3 linked regions of the Alligator mississippiensis genome follow. The protein of the gene in region 1 purifies or fractionates together with the protein of each later gene. This does not show direct contact. Links are inferred from orthologs where the notes say so. Each region holds a gene or a part of one and is shown in the gene's direction. Other genes may lie near its edges.

What was found.
Region 2: the proteins of AATF (region 1) and NOL10 purify together in Homo sapiens (affinity purification with mass spectrometry; 4 studies listed by BioGRID and IntAct, counting the BioPlex papers as one, with this or other methods). This does not show direct contact. The link is inferred for Alligator mississippiensis from reciprocal best matches to the Homo sapiens genes AATF and NOL10.
Region 3: the proteins of AATF (region 1) and NGDN purify together in Homo sapiens (affinity purification with mass spectrometry; 3 studies listed by BioGRID and IntAct, with this or other methods). This does not show direct contact. The link is inferred for Alligator mississippiensis from reciprocal best matches to the Homo sapiens genes AATF and NGDN.

The regions. Positions count from the first base shown.
Region 1 is NC_081837.1:5,466,408-5,473,890, forward strand, and holds the start of AATF (protein AATF), read left to right. Parts: upstream 1-4,398; 5' UTR 4,399-4,435; coding exon 4,436-4,520; intron 4,521-7,483. UniProt on the Homo sapiens protein: Part of the small subunit (SSU) processome, first precursor of the small eukaryotic ribosomal subunit.
Region 2 is NC_081824.1:29,634,327-29,641,482, forward strand, and holds the start of NOL10 (nucleolar protein 10), read left to right. Parts: upstream 1-4,141; 5' UTR 4,142-4,180; coding exon 4,181-4,246; intron 4,247-4,921; coding exon 4,922-4,967; intron 4,968-5,910; coding exon 5,911-6,009; intron 6,010-7,156.
Region 3 is NC_081830.1:7,522,586-7,530,450, forward strand, and holds the start of NGDN (neuroguidin), read left to right. Parts: upstream 1-4,850; 5' UTR 4,851-4,948; coding exon 4,949-4,978; intron 4,979-5,068; coding exon 5,069-5,128; intron 5,129-5,338; coding exon 5,339-5,410; intron 5,411-6,003; coding exon 6,004-6,141; intron 6,142-6,622; coding exon 6,623-6,707; intron 6,708-6,802; coding exon 6,803-6,855; intron 6,856-7,289; coding exon 7,290-7,401; intron 7,402-7,865. Other genes in the region: myosin-7, read right to left, coding at 1-41. UniProt on the Homo sapiens protein: Part of the small subunit (SSU) processome, first precursor of the small eukaryotic ribosomal subunit.

The DNA.
Region 1 (7,483 bases):
TGTAAATACTATTTATATTACACCAACTTAAATTAAGAAGATATTTCTAATGGATAATTTGAATGATCTTAACCTATTGAGTCTCCAGCATTCAAGCAATTCTTCTTTTGTTACAAACCGTGTACCATATTTTACTCTGCTCGCTCTCTGTGAAACTCCCATAGATGTCGGTATCAGCTTAATTTTTCCTTTAGTAATTTCTGTTATCTATTTACTCAGGCCTTTGCTTGAGGGCGTAGTAGGGGGATTTGTAAAGATCAGTATCCCTGGAGTAAAAATGGTCTTCCAGTTATGATTTGTAGACAAATTATGTATATTATTTTAATATATGAACCTGTGCCCAGATAGAGCGATGGGCACATGATACAAATCTATAAATAAATTTAATTTCAAAATATGATCAATGATATACATACTTTTGCTATTCAGGGAAAGGACCAAAACGACATTGTCTACTCAGGCAAAAATTCCATTAGCTGCAATTTGAGATTTTTCCATGAACAAAAGTGATATGATTAGGTCTTGTGCTTTTATCATATTACTTAGAAGGAATTGCAGTTTCTATTTTAGTTACCAGCCTTGCAAACAGACCTTTATAAGACTTCAGTTATGTTTAAGGTTAAGTAAGGCACGTGGACATACAAATCTAGACAATGCTGTGTAACAGAGAAGACAAAGTATTGAAAGGTTACATACATCATGAAACACAAGTGTTAAATTCAAGAGGAATCAGCTTGGGAAAGTCTTCTGTTTGTTTATATGTTATTATGTTGCTACTGTACTTGAGTGGACAGTAGTTATTGCAGAAGTATTATTACTTGCTTTGCTAAGAAGGCCAAATATAATTTTTAATTATAATCTGGAGGGCAGGTCTGGGAAAGTAGGGCCTTGGTGCACAGAGACTGCTGAAAATGGAACATTTTACAGAGATTGATGGGAGGATGCAGTCTTATGTGGAACTGAATTTTCAATTAGTGAAGCCACTGTTGTATTTAATATCACTGAATAAGGGAGAAAAATAAGAGAGGACACTTTTTAGGTCAACCGATTGTTTGGAATTTTATTTATCATATTTGGTGTATACATTTGTCTTAAGTGTGCAACCAGATACATAGTTGTGCATCCAAATGTTGGAATGTGTCTCTTGGAGCTTTGTCATCTATATCAACAGTACTTCATTGGGTGGAATGGGGTGATTTGCTTCTCTTAGACGTGTTGTTTCAGGTTGGCTGCAAATGCAGGAAAATCATTCTGCACTAGTTACATTGGGTTCAACGTTTGCAAGGCAGGTTTTGCAAGCATTAGCATCAGGAACATCCTGTTTTGTGTGGGTATGTGTGGGTATTTATTTAATGGAAGTTTGGACTCTAGGGCCAGACTCTATAGGGGAACTGATGAATACTTCAGGCAGGCTGAATTCAGAAATTTGGCACCACTAATGTAAAGGACTCAGATTTGCCACTGAGCTGCAAGCAAATCTGCCATGACTTTGCTGAGTGTTTCACATATGGCATTATGTCCCCAGTGCAGCAAAGCTCTTTAAGCATATGCTTAAGTTTAGGTAGAAAACATAGCCCTATGTCTTCTCTGGGATTTTAAGAGTAAGCATATGCTTAAAAGCTCTGTTGACCTGCAACCTTGGGGGGGGGGGTGGCTAAGTGTGTGAAAAAAGCCCTCTTGCACACGTGTACTTTGCACATAGGGCATAAATGTTGCATTCTCATTGTTGTCTGCAAATACAGAGTATACTCACTTGCTGTGTGTGGGAGATGCCCTTGGTCAAGGATATACATGACTCCCTCAAAAAGAATTTATCCTAATTTTTATTTGGCCTCGCTCTTCCTATGACTAACATCTTTAAGCACTGCCTGGCTCTATTTTAAATGTGTTAAATAGATTAAAAAATTCAAGAATATACAGTAGGGTTGGAACTTTCACTGGTAGTTGGGTGTTTCAACTCCTTTCAGCACTTTTTGATAATCTTACCCTCAATAAATGAAAGGACAGATGAAAAAATATATCATGTACCAGCTACTGCCCTTGTATCTCTATTAGAACTGAAGAAAAATGTTTGTTGTAATCAATTTTGATTTTCTTTTAGAAATTCAATATTCTATCTTTTGGGTTTTTGGTTTGTTTGTTTTTTAAACTGTGAAGTTTTGGTGCTTCTCCCTCTCTTGTTTTTTCCTGTCTCCCTTTTTCCAGTGATTACATTTTGCTGCTGGAAACATTTTCTTTCACATATAGAACCAATATAATTTAAAGCCAAAATATTCTGACTAAAGTGAAAATGTGTGTTTTGGGAGAAAAAAAAATGACACTTCCCATTTCATTGTTCTCAGGGGGAAAGGGTTAATTAGCTCTTGTCCCTAATTATTTTAGGGCTGTATACTGCTCTGTATACAGAATTCAGTTGTGAGTCAGTAGATGTACCTCTCAGGCATGCAGTTCCCATTGATACGTATAGGAATTCTGTCAGAGACTGATGCTTGTATGCTGCAGTCCGGCTTGCAACACCACCTGCTATCTGATAAAGGTAAGAAACAATTGCTGAGTGATATTGAACACTGAAATGTTACACAGAAGAGCAGCAAAGTATTCAGTGTAGATGTCTGGATGTTTTCTATCTCTATAGATTTCCCCATTTTTGCATTTATAGAAAGAAACTCTTATGAAAAGGCTATGCCTTATTATTAAATGTATGTATTTATACAGCACCCAAAAATGTCCCATGCTGTCATTGGTTCATCAAGGCTGACATCTTGACAGTTTCCCAAATACTAACAAGCCACATGCATTAAGAGCAAAAAAGGAAACATGGGCGTGAGAAACGAGAGGAGGAGGATTTTTACAGTATATTCTTCCAAAGCCTGCTTGTGCATCTTTATATCAATATTTAAATTTTGGCAAATAAACAAGTAGATTTGCCGTAAAATTCAAAGCGAAACTACGCTAGGAACAATGTCAATATGTTTTCAGTTCGCAGACGGAAAGGGTTTTGCGTTGCCTAATATGAATACGAAATGCTTTCGTGGTTATCTAAAAAAAAAAAATAAAAGAAAATGAATTTATATTGTTTTTGTTAATATTTATCCAAACAGTCTTTTGCCTGATAACGAATCCAAACAGCAGCAGCAGCAGGATGGTTTTAGGGCATGTGAACCAGGAACTGAAACCGACTAGTGTGTCTGCCTGTTTTAATTATCCAAGCTGAGTGAAATGCACAAAGGAAAGAAAATGAATGGTAACGTGGCACTGGGATTTTCGAACCGTTCTAAGCAGCGATGATTTTAGCGGTAATTTGTGTGTGCGTTTGGTTTGGTTTTATACGGACAATATCTTGCCCTCGGATTCGAGCCGGCACGACAAATATATTGAATCGCTTTCAGAACGGGAGCGGACGCGCCCTGCACCTCGCGCTGCAATTTACACCGCTGCAAATTTGACACGGAGCCGCTAGCGTTTTACGCCGACTTTGCCCCAGGCGCAGAATTAGGCCTGTCGACTCCAATAGGATCGGTCACGTTTCGTGTTATACACGAGCTCAAACGCTTCGCTGGACGGCGGGACGCTCGGCGCAACAATAGCCCCATTGATCTCAACGGGTGACATCCCGGTCCTATTGAAGTCAGTAACAAAAATCCCATTGACATCAGCAGGGCCAAGATTTCACCCGAAGGGTGAAAGGGTGAAATCTTTTCCCCGTGGCTATCACGGTGGATCGGGGGCATGTATCTAACCAGCCCTAAATGCCTTTTTTCACCCCCTCTCTCGACCCATAGGGATCTTTTGTATTTTGAGGGGAGGGCAGTAAGATTCACAGACTCCTAAATTCACCCCTCCTGCACTTTGTAGCGTCACGGTTTCGGAAACGCAATTCGGTAACGGCACGTTGTCCGTAGCCCCCAAAACGGTTGAATATTGATCACGACCCCCACAGGTAAGCATCGATTTCATTTTCCCGGAGGTGTTTGTACATATTTCTTAACTATCTGACGTGTTTTTTTCCTGCTTCTGGAAACTAATCGTTCCTTTAAAAAAAACCCAACCACCTCAGACTATTAAGGAGACAGTGCGTTTTTGGGGCTGCCTGATACCAAATAAGGTCCTTCTTTGAGGGGGGGGGGTTGCAAAAATGCAACCTGGCAACAAAATGTATGTGGGACCCCCCCTCAGAAATCAGGGTGCAATGGGGGGGCAGCTAAAACTGGAGGGAGGGGGTGTTTCATGTGTGAGCCACATAGGCAGGGACACGGTTTTGATGAGGGGGCTGCACTCGTGGCACCGCACGGCCACGCTGAGGGAGCCGCGTGGGTGGTTGGGGGGGGGAGGGGCGGTTGTGCCTCAGCCCCGCCGCGCGGCGACCGTTAACGGCTGCGCGTGAGGCGCGCGGGGGGAGGGGCGGCCCCGCCCCGCGCGCCTCCCTCGGCCCAAGATGGCGGCGCCCTTGGCTGAGCAGTTGGAGCTGCTGCTCGACCCCCGGCCCCGCGCGGGCGACCCCGAGGACGACCCCGAGGACGGTGAGGCGGGGGCAAGGGGAGGGAACGGGGGAGCAGGCGCGGCCTATCGCGGCCCCCACGTGGGGCCGGGCCCCGAGGAGCCTGCGCGGCGGCCCTGTCCCCTCCTAGCTGCCCCGGTGCAGCCTGTCTCCTCCCCGTCCACACGCACTGTGCCTAGGGTAGCCCTCACAGCGGACAGCCCGCGTGTCTGTCCTCTATTCATACGACACCCGACCCCTTTCTGTCGTCTTGAAGAGAAAAATAAGAGCGTGGCCCAAATCCACCTCCTTCCCGTTCGAGTTTCTTCAAAGCCATTGTGTCCCTTCCGTTCCCGTGGACGCACGGCGCCAGAGCAAAATAACGCAGCGGTGGGAGACATTAATAAAAGCTTTGATTGTTTTCACTTTTCTGATGCCGTTATTTTCCTGCTCCCCCCCTCCCCCCTCCGGTTTTCTCTCTCCTTTCTCAGGCACTTGGCCTGCGCTAGTAAGAGAATTAAACGTTAACGGCGACGGCGTGCGGTAGCCCCGTTGCGTCTCCGTTAGGTACGAGGAGAGCCGTCGGGCTGCACCAGAAAGGCCGTGTTTGCGTCCGTTACTATTTCAGGCTTGAGAAATAACACGGATAATTTAGCCGAAGAGAAGAAGATGAGCGAACACGTATACCAATGCAGGCCTGGGGCAGTTGATTGGTGAGAAGTCTAGCCCTGCCGCATATATCTTTAGAGAAAAGGAGGGGCTGGAAAGGCCCTAAAGCCATGCCAACTTCAGGTTTAATAGTGCCGTAAGTCTTCTTGTCCCTGAGGAAAGGGTTTATGCCACTTCTCTTGCCACCCAGTCCCAAGGCTGCCTGCGCCTCTAACCTGCCCTCCAATGAGTCTCCCATTTTGGATCTTTCCTCCCATTTTGGACCTTTCTCTCTTACGAGTAGCTCAAGGTGCTGCCTCAGCTCTTGTTTTGCCAAGCAAGAGGGGAGTTCAGGTTTTATCTACGCCGGTAGCAGAAAAAGAAGCGCATCCCCACTCGCAGGCTCTCTGCAGGCAGAGTAGCACCATCTCCCCCAGCAAAAGAAGACTTCTGCCGGCTGCTGTGGTCCTTTAGCAGCTGGTGCCTTCCCAGGTGCTCTTCACACTCTGCTGGCACAGCTGTTACAGCGGAGCCATGGGGAGCCATCAGAAGCCGTGCAGATGTGAAGCAGCTGTGGTGATTTGCTGTCTGCTGCCAAAAGTTTTGATGGCAAAAGCAGCTTGGTACAGACAAGGTCTCCTTTAACTGGATATACTGGATAGGTATTTGTCTTCACTGCTACTCCTAATCTCAATGTGAGCCATAAAACTGATGGGAGATGTTATTTTCACCTCCCCCAGCTTGGGGAAGGGTCTGTCCATCAGTTATAGTCCTGGTCTGTACCTAAAAGGCCTGGTATAGCTCCGTTGGCTGCGAGTGTGGATAAATCATGCCCCCAGCTGTATAGTCCAAAGCTGTAGGATAGACATAGTTGTACAGTAAAAGACTATTTTGACTAGCGTAGGTCTGGTTTAAGATGCTGATAAAAGCTATGTGAATGTGCCAGCAAGGGTCTGTAGTGCAGAGATCACACATGTCATGTGCTAACACTGTAATCCCTTTCAGGTAGGCCCGTTTTTATTATGCCGATTTGGTATCTAGCAGAGTGGAACCCTGATCCTTGGCTGATTGATAGACAATAACACCATAAGCATCGATCAGGAATTGCTACTAAACTTAAACCATATTTTAAGAAAAGTTTCAAGTCTTCCCAGACAGAGGAGAAATGTGGTCCTTTACTGATATAGCTGTGCTGGTGGGAACCTCCCTTGTAGATGCAGTTATCAGAGATGCAGATTGAAATTTTGGTTTGCTTATTGTGGGTTGATGCCCCTGTACCAAAACACTCTACCCCCTCTTGCCCCCCCCCACCCAAAAAACAAAACAAAACAGCTTTAGCGGTATAGCTGCATTCACCCTGGAAGTACTATGCTGGCATTCCTCTGCTGATTGAGCCCTCCTAGTGAAGACAAGGCAGTGCGTATAGGAGACAAATGGAGTTAGAGGAGGCCAGGAGGATGAGTTGACTTAACATGTCTAGCGCCTTAAATTGGAGCACCTGAGCTGCCTAGGCTACTACTTAGTATACTCGAGACGAATGAATGTTTCCTGCTACCTTAATCTCAAGTTTTCTGCGTGCCTCTGTTTTGCCTCTAGGGAGAGTGCAGTTTTTGAGAAATTAGTTGCTGGCAGAGTAACATGACATGAAAGTCCCTTTTTAGTTTCTAAAGTGATACCTGCCATTTCCTCCTGCATCCATCCCAGAACACCAGTACAGAGTGTCTTCAATAGCCAACTAAGCCAAGGATTTCTGGCCTGTCTCCATGACCCAAGTTATTGTGTTCAGACACAGTTCTGAAGAGTTGAGGTTAGCTATCGCAGTGCTTGGTGCCATTGGCCTGGTATAGCCTGACTGGTGTGCCATGGTCAGCATGCAGTCCGTTAACTTGACTCATACTGTTGTGTGTGACAGTAATACCCTGTCAGGCTGACACAATCTCATTAACCATTGAGAAACCAAGTAGGGTATGATTTTAGGTTTTTTCTGATTCTGAAGGAATGAGTTCTTGCGTCTGACCTTGTGTTTGCCTAACATCAGTTCTTGGATGTTCCTGCCATGGGACCTGCATATGTGGCCTTGCAGGTTCTCTGGTACCTGTCCTCTCTCCCTGTCTGTCCAGTTTCTCTCTTGTATCAAAGCCCATTGCCCTGGTGCCAGGTGTCTTGCCCTCTTGTCACAGAGGGTGAAGGCAGGCTGATCGGTTGTAGCTTTTTCTGGAAAGTACTGTAGTTGTGTGTTTGTGGCTTAGTGAATAGTGTGATGAGAGGCCCCAGTTCTGCCCTTGCCCTCTGTGGGACCTTAAACAAATCATTCACTTCTTTCCCCTTTTATCTCTCTTCTGCCTTGCCTGTTTTGAG
Region 2 (7,156 bases), on another chromosome or scaffold:
AACTATGTGATTTACCCACATTTTCTGAAATTTCGCAACACCTGAGTGATGTTTCTAAACCAAGAACCAGTACGTTAATTGTCTTCTCTACATAGAGGAATTGGGCACAAGCTATTTTGCTCCGACCTGAAATGTGGAATTCAAGATGTAATGCAAAGGAGATGTATGTGGGCATTTAGATGCATACATTTGTCTGCCCTGATGTGCTGGAGATCCAGCACATCAGAGTAGACTCGATTAATTGAGTCAACTCCGCACGTGAGCTGACACACCCTGTGATGTGTTGTGTGCATTTGTATAAATGGCAAAATACAGGTCAGCTCTGAGAGAATGGCAGCAGTGCACTTTTGAACTAAAACTTTCAATGTATTTTTGTTTGAAAGCCTGCTGCTGCCATTTTCTCAGTGCTGATGCACATTTTACCGTTTATACAAATGGATGTGCTGCAGCACCGGGTGCTTTTAAAAGTGCCTGGCGCTGCAGCACAAGTACAAATGCCCATGGGTTTAAGAAGACTGTTAGGCATAGAGTTGATTGGCCTGTTTAATGCTGTTTGTAAAGGAATTATGATTGTTTCTTTAATTGTGTGCTTAAGTTTAGTTTGAAGACTATACCATGGATCCATCACTGTAAAGCAGCACAATTCTGACTGTGAACTGGATTTCCAAGGATATAAACTGGAAGATCCAAGCTATTTGCTTTGAACTGCAGAAAGCGCAATATATGCTATTACTAGGGACCTACTGAATTCATGACGCTGCAGTTTTCAGGGAAACCACAAAACTGGTATGTCCCTGTGAAAAAGGTAGATCCATTCTACCACAAAAATGGTGATTGGCACCACACTTGGACTGCAAAATCAGGGGGGGGCAGCCATCCCAAATTTGCTATGTCCCTGGTTATTACTGTAACAGGGTATGCTACATAGTGCTTATTCTCCTGAGAAAATTTAGCTTAGGGTGTGTCAAAGCTAGGTGCTGTGCATGTACTTAAATTCCTAGTAATATTTTACATAAGATGATCAAAACTGGAGGAAAAGGCCTTCATGGTATATAGAGACTATACATTAGAAGTTACAAAAACCCTGCTTAAGGGTTTCTTTGTAAGAAATCTAAATGCCTTGAGTTAGGCTATGGTGAAAAGACCAACACTATTAGTAATATCAAATATTAATATCTGTAAATAAAGTATCAACTAAAAATGTGTCTATGAAAAGATCTTTGCAAGTCATAAACAAAAATGACAACTAAGACCTGGAGGATCTTTCAAATGGATTGCATTCTTTTCAAATAATGCTCTGAAGGAACACCTGTTTTCTGTCAACTTGTGGGCTGTGTATATTTTTAAAAACAGAAAAACCTGGTGAAAATAGAGTCCTGTGTTTATAATAAAGCAAAGGATATGAAGGCATTTGGAATCGATCCTGACCAATGGAAAACCTTGGCAGGTGATTGTAACAAGCATAGATGACTGATAGAAGGTGCACAGGGGTGCGCATGCCCCCCCCCCGACAGGGCCGGTGGCCCCCCAATGGCCAACACCGATGCTGTTGGTAGGGCCGGTGCTCCCCCTGACAGGGTCGGCGCCTTCTGTGGGTGTCCCCCAGAGATTCAGAAGGCACCAGTCTCTCATGGTAACAAGTGGTGTTGTCATTGTCTCCACCAAGGCATCAAAATCCACAACAGAAACTGTCTCCAACAAGTTGAAAAGAAAAGAGTCCATAGGAAGCAAGCAGCTCCTAAACCACCCAACCGTGACATACATTTGTAACCACTGCCACAGATCATGCAAATCTCGAAATGAACTATTCATTCACATGAGACACTGCAAACCATCTATATCATAGGCTGCAATATCCATCATCTCCCATAGACTAAAGGATACCAAAGAAACCTATCTTGCAGCATTATAAAGGATAGCAGTTAAAGCCATGTGCTTTCCCTTCTTTTTGTTTTTACAATAAATAAATAAATACAAGCTTGTTTCTGCCAAGTGGAGAACATTTACACTGATTCAAACCCCCTGAATGGACTTGGGACAAACTGGTTTAAGTAGCACAGTTGAGTTGGTCTGGGTGGGCAGTTTTGACTTCAAGCGCAGCAGCTGTTGGCACATACATAGTTTCTAGTTCAAGCAGCTGACATGGTCCAATGGAGTTACAGGTGTTGCATCTTGGGGAAAATTGTTAAAGCTCACGAAGGACCTCTCACCAGCTTTTAAAATGGTCAAACTGTCTCTGGCAGGAAAAGGTAATTATGATAACTGTTCTTTCTAGGATGGAAGGACATAATCTAAGTAAGATTTCTCTTGACACCAGTCTTACAAAGGGCGGTTAGCCTCAAACCATCTACACATGCTTGTGGTGTGTGCATTTGTATAAATGGCAAAATGTGCGTCAGCGCTGAGAAAATTGTGGCAGCGTGCTTTTGAACTAAAACACATCGAAGGTGTTTTAGTTTAAAAGCACACCGCTGCCATTGTCTCATTTATACATTTGGTTTAAAAGCAAGCTGCTGCCATTTATACAAATGCATGTGATGTTGTGCTGGTCGCATTAGCATGTCTGTGAAGCAGACTTGATTAATGGAGTCTGCTCTGAAGCGCTGGATCTCTGGTGTGTCGAAGCAGACGAATGTATGTGTATAAATATGCTGCATTTTAAAGAAACTGATCTGCTCTAGCCGGGCCCCTGGATTCGCTTTTGGGACCCCTTTATCCCAAGTGTTCTTTGCCTGTCTCTTACGTGCCTCCCGCTCGCCCCTCCAGCTTCCTCACCTATTGTATTCTAACCACTCCACTTCGTACTCTGCGCTGCCCCTTCATGGCCTGGTAGAGCAAACTTGGATTCACATATATGTGTTCGTGTATGTGTATGTGTGCATACACATACATATGTACATATATGTATGTACATATGTGCATGGGTGACTGGTGCCACCTTAGTCAGGTGGGGCATGTGAACCCCCAGGTCAGGGGGATCGGCCAAGGTGTGTCCTCCCTTGGCCGATCTTGCTGACCTGGGCAGGGGGAGTGTCGCGAAAACGGCCGCGAAACGGCTGATAGCTGTGACCACATCTGGAAGTGGCTGTGGCCTTTTCTGGGAGCGCCACGGTGCTCCACTCCCCGGCCAGTGCTTGAAGGGGAGGGCACCGGTGCTCCTGCCTGCCCCCCTACCCATCGCCTACGTGGCAAGCATGGCCAGTCACGGTGTGCACCGGTGCTCTCAGGGGGTGCACATGCACCCCCGTGCACCTGCTACTCATCACCACTGCATGTGTGTATCTATGTATGTGCATGCAGAAGCATGTGTGCCTGCATGTCTGCATGTGTACGTGCATGCATGCACACGTATGCATGTGTACATTTGTACGTGTATGTAGGTGCATGCATGTATATGTGTATATGTGTACGTACGTATGCATGTATCTATACGTGTGGATATGTACATGTGTATGAGCACATGCATATGTTCATGCATGTACATATATGTGTATGTGTACACTAGTATGTGTACGTATGTACCCGTGTAGCTATACTGTACACAGAGCCGACCCTAGAGGGGTGTGGGGCTTGGGGCAAATCCTCCTGTGTGGGAGCCCCCTTTAACACTGTGTGAGGTCACGGTAACCCCGCAAAGAGTTGGGGGCAGTCTTTGTCCTTCTCTGTGCTTCTTCCATGGCGTGGGGCAGAGCTGCCAGCTCCAGGCGGGCCCTGGGGGATGGGCTGCGGCCTGGGGAGGCTCCGTGGGGCCCTCCCAAAGCGCGGGGCCTGGGGCCATCACCCCGATTTGCCTAAGCCTAGGGACAGCTCTGTCTACATGTGCATGCATGAACATACGTGTACATTTGTACCTGTATGTGCATGTACGTACACATGTAGCTGTACGTGTGGATATATACACACATGCGTGTACATTTGTACATGTACGCACGGGCATGTATGTATACACGTGTATATATGTACGTACATATGTCTGCGTGTGTCGAGATATATCTATACAGACACGCACACACGTGCTCCCCCGCACGCCGGGCCCCAACGCCGGCCACCACCCCCGGGTCAAAGAGCCCCCGGAAGCGCGGGGGGCGGGGCTGCGCTGCGCTGCGCTGCGCGGAGGGGGCCCGGCTGACTTCCGCTTGGCCTTTGACCCGGCAGTAAAGTCCGCGCAGGCGCCGGCGCCATGCAGGTCTCCAGCCTCAACGAGGTGAAGATCTACAGCCTGAGCGCAGGCCGCAGCCTGCCCGAGGTGAGCGCGGCGGGGCGCGGGGCCGCTTCGGAGTCGGGAGAGCCCGGGGGCAGTTTCCGGCCGCGCGGGGCGGGGATTGCCACTGCGGGCCCGAGCGTGAGCGCCCCTGTGCCCGGCACTGCTGCTGCACCCCGGGGTGGTGCCCCACGGCAGCGGCTCCCAACCTTGTCTATACCAGGACCCATCTGTAAATACTAGTGCTGTCTCTCCCTCCCTCCTTGCCGCCCCCAGCCTCCCAGGGTGGGCGGCCTGGAGGCCCCTCGCAGGCCGGAGCTCTGAGCACCGAGATGGGAAGGGGTGGAAAGCTGTTTTGGGGAACTGTAACTCTTTTAGTTTTGATGGGGGTGGGGGAGAAGTAGAGCTCGGCTCCTTACGTGCATGGGGATTCCAAATGTGAATTATTAAAATAATAGATGCATTTAAACTCTTAAGTACACTGTGTTTAAGTTTTCAGTGATGTTTTAAAGATTATGAAGCATAACATTGCTCAAATTATTAAATTAAATAATAGGTATTCATGCACGTGTTTGATGTGTTTGTTTGAGACAACGAATACAGAAATATTAATAAGACTGCCACTTCCTCACTTTGTTTTATTGGTAAATTTGATAAGCCTAACTAACTCTCCCTCTGCCTTCCTTTTAAATATTGACAGCTACAGTTTTTCTTTTATAGTGGCTTTCTGATAGGAAGAAGAGAGCGCTCCAAAAGAAAGATGTCGGTGAGTTGCCTTCAGCACATACTGTTCAGCAGTAATGGGTTGTGTTTATGGAGACCAAAGAGCTTTACAGGCTGATTTAAGAATTGATAGCTTTTTGGCTCTTGTGTGTTCGTTGCTAGTTATTTCTGGCTGTGCAAGTTGATCTAGATAAGGGGTCAAGAAAGAGTGTTTCCTTTTTTTCAGTGCTGGGTGAATTATATGTTCTTCTTGAATTCCTGTGAAGCTTTAGTTGCTGGTTGCTCTAGTCTGGGAGGTTTAATGGCAGATTTGGTCTACCACTTCTACATGTACATTATGTTAAGGACTGTCCACATTAGAGAAGGTGATGGATGTGATCCTCAGGGCAGTGTGACCGGATAGACTCTTAAGTACAAGGCAGGGCGACTGCATATTCTCCCTGCAAAGTACCCGGAACAGAACATTCTGCTGCTGGGTCTGGTATTGAGCTGGAGATATAAAATGGCACACATTCATTTAGCTGCCTCTTTTTCCCTCAGAAGCCATGATCTTTAAAAAATGCAAACAAAGCCTTCCACTCTCCCTTTTGCCCAGAGCAGAGTGCCTCTTTAGTCTGGGATTTATTTTTAACTTTGTGTAGTATTTAGATGCAATTGTGATAAGTGGCATATGGAACTTGTGAGAGGTAAGTGTGGGGTAGGTATTACATGAGTGTAGTAGAGATAATGGCATAAGCTATACAATTTCTCAGTTATGTAATCATAAAGAGTCATACAGCATGTTCATTTTATATGCTGATGTAGTATGTATTGCTTTGCGTTGATGCTGTTCACTTCTGAGTGCTAAACAGAACTCATTAATTTCCTTATGTTAACTGTACATAAAAATGAGGGATGGCTTTTCTTATATTTGGTGTATAATAACTTTCTATAAGAAATAAATGCCCCGTTTTTAAAGGCAAATGTTTTCCTTAATTTTTTTAAAGATCTTCGAAGAAGAATTGAACTTATTCAGGACTTTGACATGCCTACAGTTAGCACAAAAATTAAAGTGTCAAGGGATGGACAGTATATCATGGCAGCTGGTAAGTAAATTAAATGTTTGCTTATAACAGAAGCTAAAAATGCTAGATGTCCTTGACATAGAGTAGGGGTAGGCAATGTTTTTTGGCCTGAGTGCCAAAAAAACCCCACAGTGCCTACTTTGAAAGGTGCTGGAGTGCCGGCATGCCAGAAAAACAAAACAAGGGCAGGTGGCACATGGAAGGATGCCCTGCTTGTGCCCTGCCCCCCAGCCCAAGCTCCGTGGCTATCAGCAGCTACCCAGAACCTGGGCCAGCTGCAAACAGCTGCTGTTTCCCTGGCCCTGGCCTCAGCTGCCTCCCAAACCCAGCCCCGGGCACCAACAGGGCCACAAGGCTGTGGGTGGGGTGTGAGGGGTACTGGCAGGGCTGTGGGTGGAGAGTGAGGGGCAATAGCATAGGCAGGGCACCAGCATATCAGGGCTGCTCAGCCCCACAAAACAGTGGTGGGGGATAGCTGCAGCTGGACCCGTGTCCGGTCAGGGAAGAGGGTAGGTGGAGCTCTGATTTTGCATGTTAAAAACCTCCCAAATCAAATGCCAATATTTATAAGCGTTTAGAATTTATTTTATTATAGTGATTGAAGCACCGGCAGACTTCCAGGTTAATATATTTACAATTTTAAAGCAATAAAACACTATGTTCAACTGATACCTATATATAGTGATTTTTGGGATTTTAATCAAAGAATTTGAGATTTTTTTTTTAGCAGAGAATTTGCGATTTTTAAACAGAAAACCAGGATCCCTGTTCATAACTAAAGAAAAATAATCTTTCTTTCTCTATCTGTGGGTACTTCAGTCATTTGACTGAAATGTTGCCCATACTGTTGCGTCTCTAGTTACAATAATACTATCTACATTTTCATAAATCAAGGGTTTGCTTTAAACGGATGGGCTGCCTACTCCTAATAATTTTTTATAGAGGTAACGAATAAGCTGTACAGATTTTAGCAGGAACGATCATCTTGAATACTGCGTATCAGTGGTTCTCTAACTCTTGAATTTAGCAGTACCATCTGTAGAGGGAGCCCTCTTCTCTCCCCCCCCCCCCCCCCCCCCCCCGGTGTTTCCACACACCCTTTCTCCCCCCCCAGCATTTAAAAGCCCAGGGGTTGCCATCACACCCATTAAAGAGTGCAGGGGTGGGG
Region 3 (7,865 bases), on another chromosome or scaffold:
GGGGCGGCCTCCCCAAATTCTGCCATCTCCGCATCTCCCATGGTGCCTCTTGGGAAGCAAGGGAGGGCTTGTGAGCCAGGCATGGCTGGGCCAGGGCCTCAAACCCCTGGCCTGGAGGCTGGAGGGCCCGGGAGGCAGCTGCCTATAGGAACATGCATTTCCTGCTGCGATCCCACCCCAGAAGCAGTCGCATCTCGGCCCTACCTTGTGTGTCCTGGTGGGTCCTGGAAAGAGGAAGGTGGTGGCTGGGTCTGTCCCCGGGGCTGGAGTCCTGGCAGGGGAAGGGGTCAGCAGGGAGCGGTGGAGACCTCCCCCGCGTGGGCGCAGCCCCTCTGACCAGGCCCGGACAGACACACGTTGTACATGCAGGGAGGTGCACACGGACCACACACACATATAAACACTGGCTGCACACACATGCCCCCCCTACCCCCAGATGGCACACACAAGTCCACACACACACAAGCACCGATTGGACACTCACTGTGCACATCTACATACACATTGCACACATGGATTGCACACATACACATCTGCACATGGATGACACATACCACTTGCACAATTGAGTGCCCTACACACTTATACAGAGCACATACATGTGCAAGGAGACGTGTAGCATACACATTGCACAAGTGCCTACATGAATTGCACATGCTAGTTCACACACAAACACAGATCGCACACACATTGCCCACATACATGTTCCTACAGATTACATGCACACGTACATGCAGACTGCACACACACACAACCACACACATGTGTAGACACACGGATTGCACACACAAGTGCACACATGCAAACATAGGCCCCACACATGCAAGAACACATGCCAATTCCACATGCAGGCGGTGCACTCACACAAGTACACACCTAAGCACAGATCACACACACAGACTGCACAAGCACCTATGCTCACAGACACACACCCCAGTACCCACATGCGTGTCCACACAGATTGTACATGCGTGTGCTTGTAGACAGCGCAAGTGAGGGCATCACAGATGTATGTGGCTTGCACACACGGATGGCACCCCTGCACGTTCACATACCTGAGCGCACCCCCCCGGTAAACCTGTACACACACACATGCATGGACACGCACATGACACCCACCCAAACAAGGTACCCAGGCCCCTGCTCCCCTTCATACCCCCCCTCACCCCATGGCCCCTCCAGGGACACCCCAACCTCCCCCCTGCCCTGGCTGCTTGCCCCCTCCTCACCCCCCCAGGACCCACTGACCCCTGACAGCCTCCCATGCCCCCCCAACCCAAGGGGACCTTCTATGCCCCCACCCAGCCCCAGACACCCCCCTCCAGGACTCATGGACCCCCTAACACCCCTTATAGACCCCCCTGGTATTCCCCCCCCAGCCCCAAACCCCCCCAGCCCACACACCTCACACCAATGCTGAGGGGCCTGTGAGGGCGGCTGTTGAGGGGGCCCCTATATACCCCCTGCCCCCCACCCCTGTGGCAGGGCAGAGCCAGGCCCCCGCCCCCCCAGCCCCACTTCTGTCCTCCCCCCACCGGGGAACAATTGGAAGCTCTCGTCATTGTCCAGGAACGATGAAGAATAGGAACAGGTTTGGGGAGGGAAGGGCGGGGGGGCATCCCAGGCATCCACGGGGCTGGGATTCCAGGGCAGACGGACGCACGGACGCCAGGCCGCAGCCCCTGCCCCCCCACAGCCTGTGGATGCCCTTCACTCCTGAGGCATAGCCCCTGCGCCCCCCACCAGCCCCCTCACTCCTGACCAACAGCTCCCTGCCCCGCCCTGCAATACCCCTCACTCTCCATCAGCAGCCCCCAGCCCCACAGGCTGTGTCAGCCTGGGAAACATTATGGGATGGAAAATTAAATTGCCATAGAAACACGTGAGCACAAGGACCTGGTCCCTCCAGTGAATGGGACCCTGGACACTTGGGTTCTCTCTCAGCTCTGGGTGGGGGCAGCGAGGCCAGAACAAAGGGGTCCTGGGAGCCTGGGTTCATTCCCCAGCTCTGGAGCAGGGGTGGGATCTTGGGAGGGTCAGAGCTAGGGGAGTGGGGGCTGGCAGCCAGGACGCCTGGGTTCTCACCCAGCTCTGAAGGGCAGTGGGGACTTAAGAGGGGGTGTGGGGGGGCATTGGGAGCCTGGATGCCTGGGTCCTTTGTGTCTGCTCAGCTCCCTTCCCCCAGGGCCAGGCCAGACTGACAAAGGACAGGTGGGGGGGACGGGCTTGCTTGGTCCTTGAACAGGTGTCAGGCCCAAATCCCAAGTGTATGGGTGGGGGGGATGGGGCACTGTGCCATTCTTCTTAACCCCTTGTGTGCCAGAGGTCCACCCAGCCTCCCCACCGCCCATTTGGCAGAGGGAACGCAGGTGACCGGGCCCCCAGAAGACCCCACACCCAAGAACCCAGGTGTCCAGGCTCCCCCTCCCTCAGAGAACCCAGGTTTAGGGCTCCCAGACCTGTCTCTCTCTCTCTTCCCCCTATTCTTTTTTCCCCTCCCCCCACAAGGGTAATTTTAGCTGCCACCCCCCCCCACACCCCTCGCAGCATTCCCTGCCCCCCTGACACTCAATCCCCCCTTCCCCATGACGTGAACAAAGGGGCCCAGGACAATAGGAAGGACCTTGAGAAGGACCCGGCCTTATATAGCCGTGCCCGAAAGGCCGGCCAGTATTAATAGCCACTAGCCAAGAATAGAACCCAGGCATCCAGGGAGGGGGAGTCTTCCCCCCTCTACAGCTCACCGGACCCTATTGTCATCCCCAAGGCAGGAGAGAACCCTGGAAACTGGGCCGTGGGGGCGGGGGCAGCCCCCTCCAGCCCAAAGTCCCATTGGTCTTCCAGAGCCCAGAGGGAACCCAGATATCCAGGGGAGACCTCAGATCCAACCCACCAACCCCCCTTACCTCTAAAGCCCACTGGACCCCACTGGTGTCCCAGAGCCCAGAGAGAGCCCAGGGGTCCGGGGGGCTCCCACCCCTGAGACTCCCACTCCCTTCCCACAGCTGGACAGAACCCAGGCACCCGGGCTCCTAGCCCCTTGTTCTACTCCTACTCCCCCCAGCCCAGCCCAGGGCTTGGGGCTGTGGGGAGATAGGGCCCGGATGCCTGGGTTCCCTCTTGACTGGGTGGGGGAGAGTGGTTGGACACCTGGTTTCTGTCTCATGTTTGGGAGGGGAATGGGGTCGGGTCCCCGGACACCTGGGGTCTATCCAGCTCTGGGGTCCAGTGGGTTAGAGTAGGAAGTGCTGAGAGCCTGTGCTCTTAGGTTCTTCTCTGGGAGAGGAGTGGGGGCTGGCATGTTAGAACGGGGGCACGGGGAGCCCGGACACCTGGGTTCCCTCCCAGCTCCAGGAGGCTTTGTGGGGCCGGGCACGTTGGGTGAGGGGGAGCTGAGAGCCTGGTTTCCATTTCATTGAGAGCCTGGACACCTGGATTCCCACTCAGGCCTAGGAGGGCAGCAGGGCCTGGGCGCCTGGAGACCTGGGTCCTGTTAAACCGGGGCTTCCCTTGGCAGTATCCCAGGAAATTCCCCTGCCCTCCCCCCGCACAGCTGGGCGGGGTCCAGGCACCTGCCATTGCCCCCCAGACAATACCCCCCCACCCCTGGTCCCAGTAGGCTGGGTCTCGTGCCGGTATTCGCATACCAGGGGGGCGTTAAAGCCCAGCGTCTGGGCTCCCAGCCCTGTCCCCCCACCCAGCAGGCAGAGTACCCAGGTGTCCTTGGTGCCTGGCCTGGCTGGGACAATAGCCCGGTGCATTCCTTGGGGTGGGGCATTTCCTATTGTCTTGGCCCCAGCTATTGTCATCTGGGCCAGGGGCACCGCAGGGGATGGACCCAGCAGTCCAGGCTCCCCAGCCCCGCTACCCTCCCTAGGCAGAGCGAACCCAGATGCCCGGGACCCTGACCTGCACCCCGGACACCTGGGTTCTCTCCCAGCTCGGGGAGGCTTTGTGGGCCTGGCAGGTTCGGGGAGGCAGGGCTGAGAGCCACCTTCTCGCTCTGAGGGCAACAGAGGTTGAGAGCTGCGATGCCTGGGTTCACTTTCCGCTCAGGCCTGGGCACCCAGACACCTGGGTCCTACGTAACTGGGGCTGCCCTTGGCGGGGTCCCAGGGATTCCCCCCCCCAGCTGGGCGGGGTCCAGGCACCTGCCATTGTCCCCTAGACAATGCTCCCCGCCATGGTCCCAGCAGGCCGGGCCCCAGGCCAGGGGCGTGTGAGAACCCAGGCATCCAGGCTCCCCCCGCCAGGCAGGCAGAGAACCCAGGTGTCCTGGCACCCAGCCCGGCCAGGCTGGGACAATAGCCCGGTGCATTCCCCGGGGCCGGAGCGTTTCCTATTGTCTTGGCCCTGGCCATTGTCATCTGGGCCAGGAGCAGGGCAGGGGAAGGCAGCAGCATCCAGGCTCCCTGCTCCCACCTGGCCCTGCTGCTCTGCCCAACCGGGCGTCCAAGCCCGGACAGCTGGGGGCTCTGCCAGCTCTGGGGGGACACTGGGGTGCAGTGGGCTTCGAGGGTGGGGCACAGCCCCCGAGACCTGGGCTCTCTCCCAGCTCTGGCAGGGGCTGTGGGCACCGCGAGCCGGAGGTCTGGTTTTTTGGGAGGGGCGCAGGGACTAGGGGGTCACGGCACTGGGGCGGGGGCCGGACACCTGGGTTCTCCACCTGATCTGGGGGAGTGGGGCCCCCTCAACCAATCCCGCCGCGCCTCTGCCCTTCGCTCCCGCCCCCTCTCCGCGCCCATTTGTCCGCATCTTCCCCAAAACGGTTCCCCCGCCCCGTTTTCATCTCTCCCGCTCCGTGATTGGCTCGGGCGGCCTGAGGAGGCGGCCGCTGCTGGGCTGTGTCCCTTCCCACTCGCCGTCAGCGTGGCGCACGCGCTGATTGGCTGAGTCGCCCTAGCGGGGCGGAAGCGGGTGGCGGGGCGCACGTGGGCGCGGGACCGGGATGGAGCCGGGCTGTAGTACCGGCCTGCGGGTGAGTGGGGCTCGGGCTCCTGGGACCCGGGGCTCGGACTTCTGCGTCCGCGCTCTATCCTTGGGCTAACCCGCCGCCGCCTCCCCCCAGGAGCAGGTGGTGACTGATCTCCCCCAGGCCTTGGCCCTGCTGACGGCGCTCCCAGAGCAGGTGAGATCTCCCCCATGCACCCCGCCCTGCGGGTGCCCCTCACTCTCGACCGCCCCCCCCCCGCAGCCGAAGTGGATTGAAGCCCGGACGTCTGGTTCCCCCGGGCTCCGGGAGGGGGGAGAACTGTGCCCCAGACATCTGGGGTCTGTTTCCACGGGGGGTGCCCACGTCCTCCTGCCCTGGGTTTGGGTCTGAGCTGCATCTCTGCAGGTGGCCGCTGTGACCGCGCACATCCAGGGGCTGCTGCAGAGGGTCCGGGCTGGCGTCTTCCCCACTGCCAAGGTAGGAGCTGGGGGGATACCTGCCCCCTCCCCCCCCCAACCCATGTTCTCCCTCACCTGAGACCCCCCTCAGACCCAGGAGGGAGCCCAGGCATCTGGGCTCCCAGCTCCCCTGCTGTAGCCAATGAAATCCTGCTCCGCTCCGGGACCCTCTAGGGGACCCAGGAGTCTGGGCTCCCAGCTCCACCTCCACTCAAGCTCACTTGATTTTGCTCTCCTATGGGACCCAGGTGTCTGAGCTCCCAACCTTGCCTTCTCCCAGCACAGGCCACAACCCCTCCCAGAGCTGGGGAGAACCCAGGAGTTGAGTCCTAGCAGATACTTCTTGTTTCTTAGCCTATCAGAACCTGCACTATCCGTAGAGCAGAGAGAGAACCCAGGCACCTGGGCATCCCTTTCAGATCCCACTGCCATGCAGGAGCTGGGCGAACCCAGGCATCTGGATATCCAACCCCCTCTGCTCTAACCCCCAGTTCCTGCCTTGCTCCTGGAGGACTCAGGTTCCCCCTTCCCTTTGCTCTAAACCCCTGGACTCCACTCGCTTCCCAGAGAACCCAGGCATCTGGGCTTCCACATGTCCATCTGTTCCTGCAGGGCCTGAGCTTCCTGGTGCTGCGGCCGCAGCTGCTGCTCTTCTACCTGCAGGACCTGGCGGCCGTGCTGGCAGCCAAGGCGGGGGGGCGCCCGCTGGCCGGCACCGCCTCTCCCCTGCGCCTGGCAGAGCTGCGCACGGTGAGGGGGTGGGGTTAGAAGGGAAGGGCTGGTCTTAAGGTTTGGGGTTGGGGTGTAGAGGGGTATTGAGGGTGGAGCTAGAGGGGTGGGGGTCTGGGGGTATTGGGTGTGGAGCTAGGGCAGGGGCAGGCAAAATGCGGCCCACCAGGCCATTCTATCCAGCTCACAGGGCCCCTAAAAATGTAGAAAATTAATATTTATCTGCCCCTGGATGCCTGTTATGCAGCCCTTGATGGCTTGCCAAAACTCAGTAAGTAGCCCTCCATCCAAAATAATTGCCCACCCCTGGGCCTAGGGGGTGTTGTGGCATCTTGGGGCAGGTGTTGGGAAGGGGTGGGGGTAGAGGGGAGACAAGTGGAGCTAAGAGATGTAGAGGTGTGGGGCAGAGCTAGATGAGGAGGGCTGGAGCTTAGGGGGTGAGGGCTGGAGCTTAGGGGGTGGGACCTTGTAGCGGCGTGGCTCAGCTTAGCCCCACCCCCAGGTGCTGGAGAAGATGCGGCCCATCGACCACAAGCTCCGGTACCAGGTGGACAAGCTGGTGCGGGCAGCGGCCACCGGGGCCCTGGGTGAGTTGGGGGATGGGGCCAGGCACAGGGGGGTGGGGCCAGGCACAGGGAGGCTCACCGCCCCTCCCCCTCCCTGGGGGGCACTCTGTTTGCAGGGGGGGATGACCCACTGCGCTTCCGGCCCGACCCCAGCAACATGGCCAGCAAGGTAAAGGGGGAGGGGGGGCAGCCCAGATGCCTGGGTCCTCTGTGGGGAGAGGGAGCTGGACTCTTGGGCTCTCTAGTGGGGAGGGGGCCCAGACACCTGGGTACTCTGGGTGCCACAGGGGCAAGGGCTCATGGGTTCTCTAGGAGGGGTGGGTGGGCCCAGACGCCTGGGCTCTCTTCCCCTCTAAAGCTGTCATTGTGGTTCCAGTTTGGGGAAAGGGGTGGGCTGAAAGGTCAGAGCAGGGGAGGTTCCTGGACTCCTGGGTTCATTGGGAGGGGGAAGCATTAGATCACTGGGGGCTCTGAGCCCAGACACCTGGGCTCTCCCCACTTTACAGAGGGTGTGGGGGGGGTGGGGACAAGTTACAGCAGGGGTTTCCCTGGATGCCTGGGTCCTCTCCTGCTCCCGGTGCCTCATTTCCACACCCCGCACAGCTGAGTGAGGATGAAGAGGAGGTGGCCAGTGGCCCAGACCCTGGGAAGAAACCCGCAGCTGCAGGAGGGATCCGGAAATACATCCCACCCCGTCTGGTGCCGGTTCACTATGGTATGTTTAGACAGAATGGGGCAGCCTGGGTTCCTTTGTCTGCAACACAGCGGGGGCTGGCTAACAGGCCCCCAGTGCCCCCACACCCTGGAGGTCTGTGTCAGCTTGAGGGGGGGCACTGTATAACCAGCCCTTCGGCCCTACTCTAGAGTCAGCTGCATCTGGGTGCCAGGTGAGGGCTCCCTATTAGACATGGCCACCCTACCCATCATGGGCATCTCAGTACTGGTTCCCTGTATGCCTAGCACATCCCACCCCAGAATCAGGTGCATCCTGGTATTGGACAGGGGCTCCCCTTGCATCCAGCCATCCTACCCCAGATCTAGCTGCATCTTGACAATGGATGAGGGCTTCCTGTTATGTGGGCCATTGCACCCCAGACCCAACTGCATCTCAGAGCTGAGTTCCTGTATGCCCAGCATGGCTCACCCCAGAATTAGCTGTGTCTTGGCACCAGATAGGTG